3 linked regions of the Macaca mulatta genome follow. The protein of the gene in region 3 interacts with the protein of the main gene of each other region in a biochemical or structural test. Links are inferred from orthologs where the notes say so. Each region holds a gene or a part of one and is shown on either strand. Other genes may lie near its edges. The genes, in order: CSE1L, KPNB1 and KPNA2.

Evidence for each region.
Region 1: the proteins of KPNA2 (region 3) and CSE1L form a complex in vitro, tested with the Homo sapiens proteins (2 studies listed by BioGRID). The link is inferred for Macaca mulatta from reciprocal best matches to the Homo sapiens genes KPNA2 and CSE1L.
Region 2: the proteins of KPNA2 (region 3) and KPNB1 form a complex in vitro, tested with the Homo sapiens proteins (6 studies listed by BioGRID and IntAct, with this or other methods). The link is inferred for Macaca mulatta from reciprocal best matches to the Homo sapiens genes KPNA2 and KPNB1.

Annotation. Positions count from the first base shown.
Region 1 is NC_133415.1:101,888,748-101,892,400, forward strand, and holds part of CSE1L (exportin-2), read left to right. Parts: intron 1-118; coding exon 119-286; intron 287-399; coding exon 400-529; intron 530-1,927; coding exon 1,928-1,993; intron 1,994-2,460; coding exon 2,461-2,663; intron 2,664-3,653. UniProt on the Homo sapiens protein: Export receptor for importin-alpha. Mediates importin-alpha re-export from the nucleus to the cytoplasm after import substrates (cargos) have been released into the nucleoplasm.
Region 2 is NC_133421.1:62,364,404-62,368,056, forward strand, and holds part of KPNB1 (importin subunit beta-1), read right to left. Parts: intron 3,572-3,653; coding exon 3,470-3,571; intron 637-3,469; coding exon 412-636; intron 1-411.
Region 3 is NC_133421.1:77,794,082-77,797,734, reverse strand, and holds part of KPNA2 (importin subunit alpha-1), read right to left. Parts: intron 3,170-3,653; coding exon 2,901-3,169; intron 2,649-2,900; coding exon 2,554-2,648; intron 2,454-2,553; coding exon 2,190-2,453; intron 1,704-2,189; coding exon 1,470-1,703; intron 1,222-1,469; coding exon 1,039-1,221; intron 1-1,038.

The sequences.
Region 1 (3,653 bases), on a different chromosome or scaffold from region 3:
TAACTGATTTGATTTGGATTTAATTGATAATGAGTCTAGTTCAGGAATTTCAGTTACTCCTCTTACTTATGTTAGCATTAGAGTTGTATGTTGGAGTTTTTGTTTTCTTTTATGTGAGGATGAAGAGGAAGCCGGCTTATTGGAGCTCTTAAAATCCCAGATTTGTGATAATGCTGCACTCTATGCACAAAAGTACGATGAAGAATTCCAGCGATACCTGCCTCGTTTTGTTACAGCCATCTGGAATTTACTAGTTACAACGGGTCAAGAGGTTAAATATGATTTGGTAAGATGACGGTGGAGAAAAATAATTAAAAGACATTCTCTCCCTATCTTCCCAAGAAATAAGCTGTTGAGTTTTGCTTTTAAAAATATTCTTGTTTTTGTGTTTTGTTCCAGTTGGTAAGTAATGCAATTCAATTTCTGGCTTCAGTTTGTGAGAGACCTCATTATAAGAATCTATTTGAAGACCAGAACACGCTGACGAGTATCTGTGAAAAGGTTATTGTGCCTAACATGGAATTTAGAGGTAATTACGGCAAAGGTATATTAGTATAAATTTACTAAGTCTTTGTTATTTGTAATATATTCAGTCTAATTAATTTATTACTGAATAAAACTTGTATATCATTTATTTCTTATTTTCTAAACCAAGACAGAAGATGTAGTATCTGTAATGAGTTTTCTTGTGCCATGTGAAGGTTTTCTCATGGAAATATTAAATAAGACTTCAAAAATTCCTTTACATTAAGACGATAAGCTACCTGGAATCTCTGTTTAGCGAAAGAATTTGATTTTGTTTCATTTATTGTTTCACTGAATTTTTAGCTGGCTTTGTGTATTTATTTATTTGAGGCAGGGGTCTTGCTCTGTCACCCAGGCTGGAGTGCTGAGTATGGTGCTGGGATTACAGGCATGAGCCACCATGCCTGGCCAGGATTGTGTTTTATATCAAAATAGTTATTAGATCAGTGGTTCTCAAATTATGTCTAGAACAAAATAAGGAAATTAAGGACAATATAGCATGAGATTTTATTTCCTGTTGTGTTTTCATAAAAATATGTTTAAAGGATAAATCTTCTGGCTGGGTGTGGTGGCCCATACCTTTAATCCCAGCACTTTGGGAGGCTGAGGTGGGAGGAACACTTGAGCCCAGGCCAAAATGGCAAAACCTTATCTCTACAAGAAATAAATTAGTTGGGTATAGTGGCATGTGCCTGTGGTCCCAGGTACTCAAGCGGCTTAGGTGGGAGTTTTGCTTGAGCCCAGGAGGTGGAGGCTGCAGTGAGACATGATCACACAACTGCACTCCAGCCTAGGTGACAGAGTGAGACCCCATCTCCAAAGTGTGTGTGTGTGTGTGGATAGATTTTTTTTTTTTTTTTAATTTATATGATAAAAATAGAGATGAGATCTCGCTGTGTTGACCAGGCTGGTCTCAAACTCCTGGCCTCAAGCGATCTTCCCATTTCAGCCTCCAAAAGTGCTGGGTTACACGCACGAGCCACCATGCCGGCCAGATCTGACATTGTCCACTCTACTTATTTGTTGTTGAAATGACTTTAATGAAATAATAGTGATTAAAATTAGGTTGTTGGTTTTTTAATCTTATTTGGTGAAATTTAAAGCTGGCATTCTGATATTGATCCCTAACATTTTTGACAGTTGCAGGTGTAATCCAATTCTGGGGAAATTGTCACATTAGAACAAGTGAGCCTGTCTCACAGTTGTGTGAATTACCTAATACCTCACCTTTCAGGGTAGCATTTGCTGCTCTAGATAATGATTAAGAGTATGTGAAGTAGTCATCTGATAGGAAAGAATTCTTTGCTGTAGAACAAGGCAGTTCTACATACTCTTCTGCATTCTCAGCTGTAAAGTACAGTGACGTCTTTTGGAGTGTTATCTGAAATATCTCTCTCTGTAGCTGCTGATGAAGAAGCATTTGAAGATAATTCTGAGGAGTACATAAGGAGAGATTTGGAAGGATCTGGTGTGTATCTTGGTTTTTTAGTTACTAGTCTTTTAGCAAGCCAGTTTTAAGGTGGTTCTCTTTCTAGTAAATGGGAGAAGTGGGATTGAGCATAAGTGTTTTTTCAGCTGGCTTTCGTTGAGAACTGTTGTCCTTCTTCAGCTTGTCTTAAAAAGCTCTTATATGTGACCTGCATGAAAGTATCAAAAGTTGAATCATTTGTCTATTCTTACATAGTTAGTATTTATCAAAATTCTGTGATTCTGTGACCTCTTTAGTTTCATTTTGATTTCGTATTTCTTGGGGGATTTTTTTTTCATTGTTTGTGTTGCTGATAGCTATTGGGTGGCCGTTTGTGTTTTGTTCTTTTTTTTTTCTTTCTACAATCATAGCCAAATTATTCCAGGCAATTTGTTTTCTTATAAATTGGGTCAGTTTGTTGTTAGTTGTTTTTTTTCCCCATAATATATTTTCTTTTCATTTCATAGATATTGATACTAGACGCAGGGCTGCTTGTGATCTGGTACGAGGATTATGCAAGTTTTTTGAGGGACCCGTGACAGGAATCTTCTCTGGTTATGTTAATTCCATGCTGCAGGAATATGCAAAAAATCCATCTGTCAACTGGAAACACAAAGATGCAGCCATCTACCTAGTGACATCTTTGGCATCAAAAGCCCAAACACAGAAGGTAAATATTTTTAATGTGGTTTTGTTTCTAAAACAGACATCAGTGACACCCACACAAGTCAAAAAGAAATAACGTCTCTGATAATAGAGCCTACTCTGCCAGATAACCTATTAATTCTGATTTAAGATTTATATAATCTCTGAAGATGGCTTTATGTTGATGTATTGAGCACTTAAGTTTCTTATAGACCAGAAAATTGATTATGCCCCACTTGTTACCTTAGCTGAGATCTGCTGTATAAAATATGCTTAACTTAGCTGTTCTTTAATTTTGGAAAGTTTATTGTCTATTAGTATAGTCTTATTTTACGTTTTTACTTTTTTGAGACAGAGTCTCGCTTTGTCACCAAGCTGGAGTGCAATGGCGCGATCTCAGCTCACTGCAACCTCCACCTCCTGAGTTCAAGTGACTCTCCTGCCTCAGCCTCCCAAGTAACTGGGATTATAAGTGTGCACCACCACACCTGGCTAATTTTTGTATTTTTTGTAGAGACAGGATTTTACCATATTGGCCAGGGTAGTCTCCAATTCCTGACTTCATGCGATCCTTACACCTCCGCCTCCCAGAGTGCTGGGAAACAGGTGTGAGCCACCATGTCTGGACAATATAGTCTTATTTTATATTTTATACATAAGCAATTTGTGTTTTGAAGTGTTCTTTTTCTTTTCTTTTCTTTTCTTTTTTTTTATTTGAGACATCATCCAGGCTGGAATGCATTGGCAAGATCTCAGCTTGCTGCAACCTCTGCCTCCCGGGTTCAAGCAATTCTTGTGCCTCAGCCTCCCGAGTAGCTAGAATTACAGGTGCATGTAACCACACTGGCTAATTTTTTGTATTTTTAGTAGAGATGGGGTTTTGCCATGTTGGCCAGGCTGGTCTTGAACTCCTGACTTCAAGTGATCCACCCGCCTCAGCCTCCCAAAGTGTTGAGATTACAGCCGTGAGCTCCTCTACCCAGCCAGTACAGTCTCATTTTATACATAAGCAGTT
Region 2 (3,653 bases), about 15 Mb from region 3:
ATTTAAAATTATGGGGAATCAGTGCTAGGTGCAAAAAAAAATTATCGGGAAATGTTTACAACATAGTATTAAATGAAGAAACAAGTTATAAAACAATCTGCACAGAAAGCGCCTGTTGCACACACATTTACACAGGAAAAAGCTTCAAGGATAAATACAGAGTTAAGAGCGGTTATTTCTGGGCAATGAAATTAAAGGTGACTTCTCTTTTGGCTTTTTTCGAAAGTCTCTGGATCATGCTGACTAATTAGAAACCTAAGAAATACATTTTACTCTCATTAAAAGTAAATAGGTATCTATAAATAATCTTTGTAGATGACAATTTACAGTTTTGTTTTGAAAAATAAAGATATGCTTTAAGTTTAAACAATAAATATTCTACTTTCTACTCCAAAAATCCCTCAGCTTCACCTGTATAACTAGTGGTTTGAGCTGACTGGGCTCTGGTCCTTCCAAGATACAACCAAAAGCCATCACTGCTGCATCCCGGTACCGCCAATCTGGGTTCTTGATGTGTTCTTTAATGAACGGGAGGACATGTGGGACAATGTCATCTTCACAGCAGGTGGCCAGAAGCATGAGGCACACCCCTGCTGCTTTGCAGGGGTTCCAGTCATCGTCATCATCATTTTCGTCCTGGTGAAAGAATATGGCACTAGTTAAGATTTTGTCCAAAGAATCATTTTAACTCTAAAGGTCCTCTGACTACTTGAATGTCTTTAGAACTTAAACTTCAGGGAAATAAAATATAAGACCTTTATATTTTATCTCTTCCACAAACATTCCTCACAGCATAGTCTTTGTTAAACAAGATTCAGAAGGAAGAAGATTCCATTTAGTACTAAACAACAAGAATGAAAAAATTTCAACTACATCCAAAAAGAATGAATCCCAAACATTTAGAACAAAATGCAGAACTAGAGTGTATGCTGTATGATTCCAGTTATATAAAGTACAAAATTGGCCGGGCGTGGTGGCTCACGCCTGTAATCCCAGTACTTTGGGAAGCTAAGACAGGTGGATCACCTGAGGTCAGGAGTTTGAGACCAGCCTGGTCAAGGTGGTGAAACCCCGTCTCTACTAAAAATACCAAACTTAGCCAGGTGTGGTGGCACGTTCCTGTAGTCCCAGCTACTCAGGAAGCCAAGGCAGGAAAATTGCTTAAACTTGGAAGGCGGAGGTTGCAGTGAGCCGAGATTACACCACTGTACTCCAGCCTGTGTAACAGAGTGAGACTGTCTCAGAAAAAATAAATAAATAAAAAGAATAAATAACGTCCAAAATCAACAAAAATTAACTTATGGAATAACAGACCAGGAAAGTGAGGGAGTTTCATGACTGGAAAGAAGACATGATTCAATCAAAAGTTCAAAAAAGAGGCAAGGCGCAGTGGCTCATGCCTGTAATCCCAGCACTTTAGGAGGCCAAGGCAGGCAGATCACTTGAGGTCAGGACTTCGAGACCAGCCTGGTCAACATGGTGAAACCTGGCCTCTACTAAAAATACAAAGATTAGCTGGGTATAGTGGCACATGCCTGTTAATCCCAGCTACTCGAGAGGCTGAGGCAAGATAATCACATGAACCTGGGAGATGAAGGTTGTAGTGAGCCAAGACTGCCCCACCACACTCCAGCCTGGATGACAGAGTGAGACTCTGTACCCCCCACCCCCCAAAAAAGACAAAAAACAAAAACACAAAAGTTCAAAAAAGAAAAGATTCCACTAATATCTCCTCTTAAGTTAAAATCCAAGGTATAGCTTCCTAATTGTGGCCATTCACACCACATAGTAACTTAAGGCAGGTTGCCTACGCAGTTTCAGAAAATCACACAAAGAATAATTTGTTCTCAAAGAGGAAAAGCACAGTAAAAATATAAGAAAGTAGGCCGGGTGTGGTGGCTCACACCTGTAATCCCAGCACTTTGGGAGGCCAAGGTGGGCGGATCACAAGGTCAAGAGATCGAGATCATCCTGGTCAACATGGTGAAACCCCATCTCTACTAAAAATACAAAAATTAGCTGGGCGTAGTGGTGCATGCCTGTAGTCCCAGCTACTCAGGAGGCTGAGGCAGGAGAATCGCTTGAACCCAGGAAGCAGAGGTTGCAGTGAGCCGAGGTCGCACCACTGCACTCCAGCCTGGCGACAGAGTGAGACTCCGTCTAAGAAATAAACAAACAAATAAATATAAAATATATATATACACACACACACACACACACACACACAAAAGACAAGACACAAAGTCAAAAGATAAAAATAGCAACAATAGGCGAGGCGCAGTGGCTCATGCCTGTAATCCCAGCACTTTGGGAGGCTGAGGCGGGCGGATCACCTGAGGTCAGGAGTTCGAGACCAGCCTGGCCAACATGGCAAAACCCCACTTCTACTGAAAATACAAAAATTAGCTGGCTGTGATGGTGCGCACCTGTATTTCCAGCTACTTGGGAGGCTGAGGTGGAACACTGCTTGAACCCGGGAGGCAGAGGGTGCAGTGAGCCGAGATCATGCCATTGCACTCCAGCCTGGGCGACAGAGTATGACTCCGTCTCAAAACAAAAGAAAAAAAAAACAAAAACAAAAAACCTGAAAGGAGAGGTTAAAATGTAAGGGAACATCCAGTTCATTTTAATCCAAACACATCCCTACTTAGCTTTTGAAACTATTATATTGAGAATCATACACATCCCTAAAAACAATTACATTCCTGTGTACAAAGAAATGATGCAGTGCTCAGTTACCAGCATTGTTTCCTCAGAGTACTAGCAGCTCTTTGGTAATAACTTCACATGCACCAAAAGAACCTTCCCAAACACCGTATCAAGAAACACTGTGTTGCATAAAGTCGGGAGAACAAAAGCAACCAGGACACGGTCCTCATAAAAGAACTTCTATATTTACTCATTAGACCCCAATCTTTATGAAGTCTTGTCACTTCACTTTCAGTCTGAATCTTAATAATTCAAGTTAATCATCTTAAAGGATTAGTAGAAGGCTTTCTTTCTTGGGTTGGGGTCCTTCATTAGGATCTGAATAACTCATATCCAACTTCTTTAGCATTTTAAAAGCATATACCCTGTGAACTCACAAAAGTATCCTAGACATTAGAACAGATAGGCAAGTGGCCTAAAACCAGCATATCTTTGCTCCCAACCTTGCTTCACTGAAGCGTTGATAGAGCACCTCTCTTCTATGAGTTTGGACAATGGAGCACTCAGGAAATCAGAGCAGCATGTGGCTCACTCCTGAGCAAGATGCATCTGAGATGTTAAGACCTAGTTCTCCTTCACAAAGAAGTCAGAGCCTAGGGGATCTTCTAGATCCAGCTTAGCTGTTCCTGAGCCATCAACAACAGAACATCAAATAGTTGATGGGTTGCCAAGTTCCTTCCATGGAAACTGTTCCACAGCAAACAGTTTACTCTTAGTAAGGTTTCACAGCTTACCTACCTATATTTGGAAGGTAACTCACCTGTTTCGTTAGTGTCTGTGTGAGGATTGGAACCAGATACTGTAGTGCTCCCTTGGCATAAAACTTGCTGGTGTGCTCAGGGGGCCGTCCTTGTTCTGCTGCCTGAGGAGAAACAAAGCAAATTCTAGACAAAAGCAACCAAGCTCTGTATACTAAAGGCATACAATGAGAGCTGACCAGGAAT
Region 3 (3,653 bases):
ACAAGAGTTTCACTCTTGTTGCCCAAGATGGAGTGCAATGACGCAAACTCAGCTCACTGTGACTTCCGCTTCCCGGGTTCAAGCGTTTCTCCTGCCTCAGCCTCCTAAGTAGCTGGAATTACAGGCGCCTGCCACCACACCCGGCTAATTTTTTGTATTTTTAGTAGAGACGGGGTTTCACTATGTTGGCCAGGCTGGTCTCAAACTCCTGACCTCGTGCTCTGCCCACCTCAGCCTCCCAAAATGCTGGGATTACAGGTGTGAGCCACTGTGCCCAGCCTGTAGACTCAACTTCTATATGTAAAAATCTCTAGAATCTAAAGTTGATGAGTAGGACTTACCTACCACCAATCACTATGACAAAGTGCCATATGCTGGTATGCTTGGATCAATTAGGGATACAACCAGAAGAAAAATATAAGTTATTCAAATTTTTTTTTTCTGAGATAGTTTCACTCTTCCGGCCAGGCTGGAGTGAAGTGACATGATCTTGGCTCACTGCAACCTCCACCCCTGGCCCAGGGTTCAAGCGATTCTCCTGCCTCAGCCTCCCAAGTAGCTGGGATTATAGGTGCCTGCCACCACACATGGCTAATTTTTGTATTTTTAGCAGAGACGGGGTTTCACCATGTTGGCCAGGCTGGTCTCGGACTCTTGACCTCAGGTGATCCACCTACCTTGGACTCTCAAAGTGCTGTGATACAGGCATGAGACACCATGACTGGCCAAGTCATTCAAATTTAATTTCACCAAAATTCAGTATGAAATTGGGACATTAAATCAAGTAAGTAAACAGATGTGATGAGTTCACATAAACGCCCGACTTCGATTCAGGTCCCATCATCCACTTGTCATCTCTTTCATCTTTGATAATGCCTGCCACATTTTTAATCAAAGGTGTGGCCCACCTAAACAGGCTGTCTGAATCTGTGGCTTACTAGTGACTAAACTTACAACAGTTGCCCTCCCCCAGGTCTAAATAGTAAACTGATTATTATCAAGTTCAAATTCAAACAAAGCCACCTTGATAGGTCTTACCTGAAAGATATTTGAAATGGCATCCAAGATAACCAGAATAATCTTGGTATCTTTTGCAGTTAAGAGGTTCATCAACGGTTCTATTATGCCACAGTGAACAAGGTACACAATCTGCTCAACTGTTCCACCACTAGTGTAGTTGGTCACGGCCCATACAGCTTCCTTTTGTGTCTTAAAATCTGCCTATTAAACATAAGGAAATGGTTTTATTTCAGAAAGTTGCAAGAATAAGTTTCCAGGAGTACTTTTTCACAAAAACAATGACTCAAAGTACCAAGGTTCTATCCAACTGTAAGTGAAAGGGGTTACTGGGTATTTTTCAGCAAAGGACTCCAAGTAGAACCCAAGATTCTTGCACGTGAAGAAGCTTATCAAGCAGAGCTTTCTATAAATACTAAAAATGACTTGATTAAATCCTAAGACTTCATTACCTTAGAGAGAACACTGACAAGGAATGGGACTAATCCATGATTCACAACTTGCTGTATCTGGTCCTGACGGCCAGCTGTGATGTTTGACATTGTCCATGTAGCTTCCTTCTGAATGTTAGTTTTGGGGTTGGTGAGCAGGCTGGGAAAGACAGCGAGCGCTCCTGCATCAATTACAACCTGAGTCTGTTCATCTGTACCAGTGACAATATTCCCTATGGCTCTTAGGGCAGGAGTCTGAAAAAAAAAAAAAATGTTGATGCTGGTTTTTTCCCAGCACTTCAGAAATTCTGTACCCTAAAAGTTTTAACAAGAGGCCCATCATGGGTATGAAATAGGTAATATTTCAATATTAGTATCAACTGATAATGCTTTTTTTTTTTGAGAGACAGGAGTCTTGCTCTTGTCACCCAGACTGGAGTGCAATGGCACGATCTCGACTCACTGCAGCCTCTGCCTCCCGGATTCAAGCAATTCTCCTGCCTTAGCCTCCCAAGTAGTTGGGATTACAGACGCGTGCCACCACATCCAGATAATTTCTTTGTATTTTTAGTAGAGATGGGCTTTCATCATGTTGGCCAGGCTGGTCTCTAACTCCTGACCTCAGGGGATCCACCCGCCTTGGTCTCCCAAAGTGCTGGGATTATACAGGCGTGAGCCACCATACCCAGCCCTGATCATGCTTTTTATACTTATGTCCTAATCTACAAGTAAATAACTTACCACAATTGGCAATTCAGAAGCTCCTAGAAGCTTCACAAGTTGGGGCACAACTCCTGTTTTCACGACCATGTCAATTCGTTCATTCGGACCGTCAGTAAGGTAGGAAATAGCCCAGCAGGTATCTGCTAATACTTCTGGATCATCATGATGCAGGAGCCGAACTAAGGTAGGAAGAATCTGCTCAACAGCATCTATTGGGGGTGCAGGATTCTTGTTGCGGCAAAGATTTGAAAGTGTCCAGGTAAGATTACGTAAGTAGCCACACTAGGGGGAAAAAAATAGGCAATGAGAGGTTCTGTCTTTTGAGAAGATGGGGGAAATTAGAATGAAGAAGTGAGTAACTTTATTCATGTTAGTAACTTACTGCTAAAGATGACATATCAGGAACCGCAAGGAGAGCCAACAGTGGGTCAACTGCACCATACTTAATAACCAAGTCTCGGAACACTGAGCCGTCACCTGAAAAAAAAAGCAAGATTAATTTTATTATCTTGTCCAACACCACCAATGTTCAGTGACTGATGCACCAGCAAAAACTCCCAAACGTACTTAGATGCCCCTCTGCTGCCTTTGTAAAGACGACACTTTCATTCCTAATAACGGCTTGAAAGCAAGCTCAAAACTTGACGAAGTCGTTACTATTTATAAGGCCTTTCTTTGAACTCATTACGCTTAGATACATTCAGTCAAAAGAACTTCAAGTCCAAGTACCTGCAATGTTTCCTAGAGCCCAGACGGCTTGTTCACTGATGTGAGCATGGGGAGATGCCAACAGAGAGATGAATGCTGGGATGGCACCTCCATCTACCACAGCCTTGGTCTGTTCTGATGTCCCAGAAGCAATGTTAGTGAGTGCCCAAGCAGACTCAAACTGAATGGGACTACAATCAGTTCTGCCCAAGAAGGACACAAATTTTGGAATCAAACCAGCCCGGATTATGCTGTCTATGGGGGGCTGTTTTTCTCTAGAAAGTAGTTTCCTAAAGGGGAACAAAAAGAGAAATAAAAGTTGAAAGTGGTTAACAAAAGGAGTTTGTGTAAAAACCAATTTAAAATGCAATTCAACAGTTTAGAACTTCAGACAACCTTTTAAGTAAATCACTAAATGCTGAGACATTCTGGAATCTAAGAGAAGCTGAACAGATTACCTATATGGTGCTATATATGCGGTATCATTAACTACCATTTTTCCAAAAATTAATGTAGATTACCCTCCTCTCCATCCCTGCAGAAATCTACAAATCTTGTCACTTTTTAAAAAAACTTTTGACGTTCTGACAGGGTTAGATTCCCATTGTTAACTGAATTTGTTCTCCCTGATAGTTGTGGTTAAGCACATTTTTCTTTTTGAGACGGAGTCTCGCTCTGTTGCCCAGGCTGGAGTGCAGTGGCCGGATCTCAGCTCACTGCAAGCTCCACCTCCCAGGTTCACACCATTCTCTTGCCTCAGCCTCCCAAGTAGCT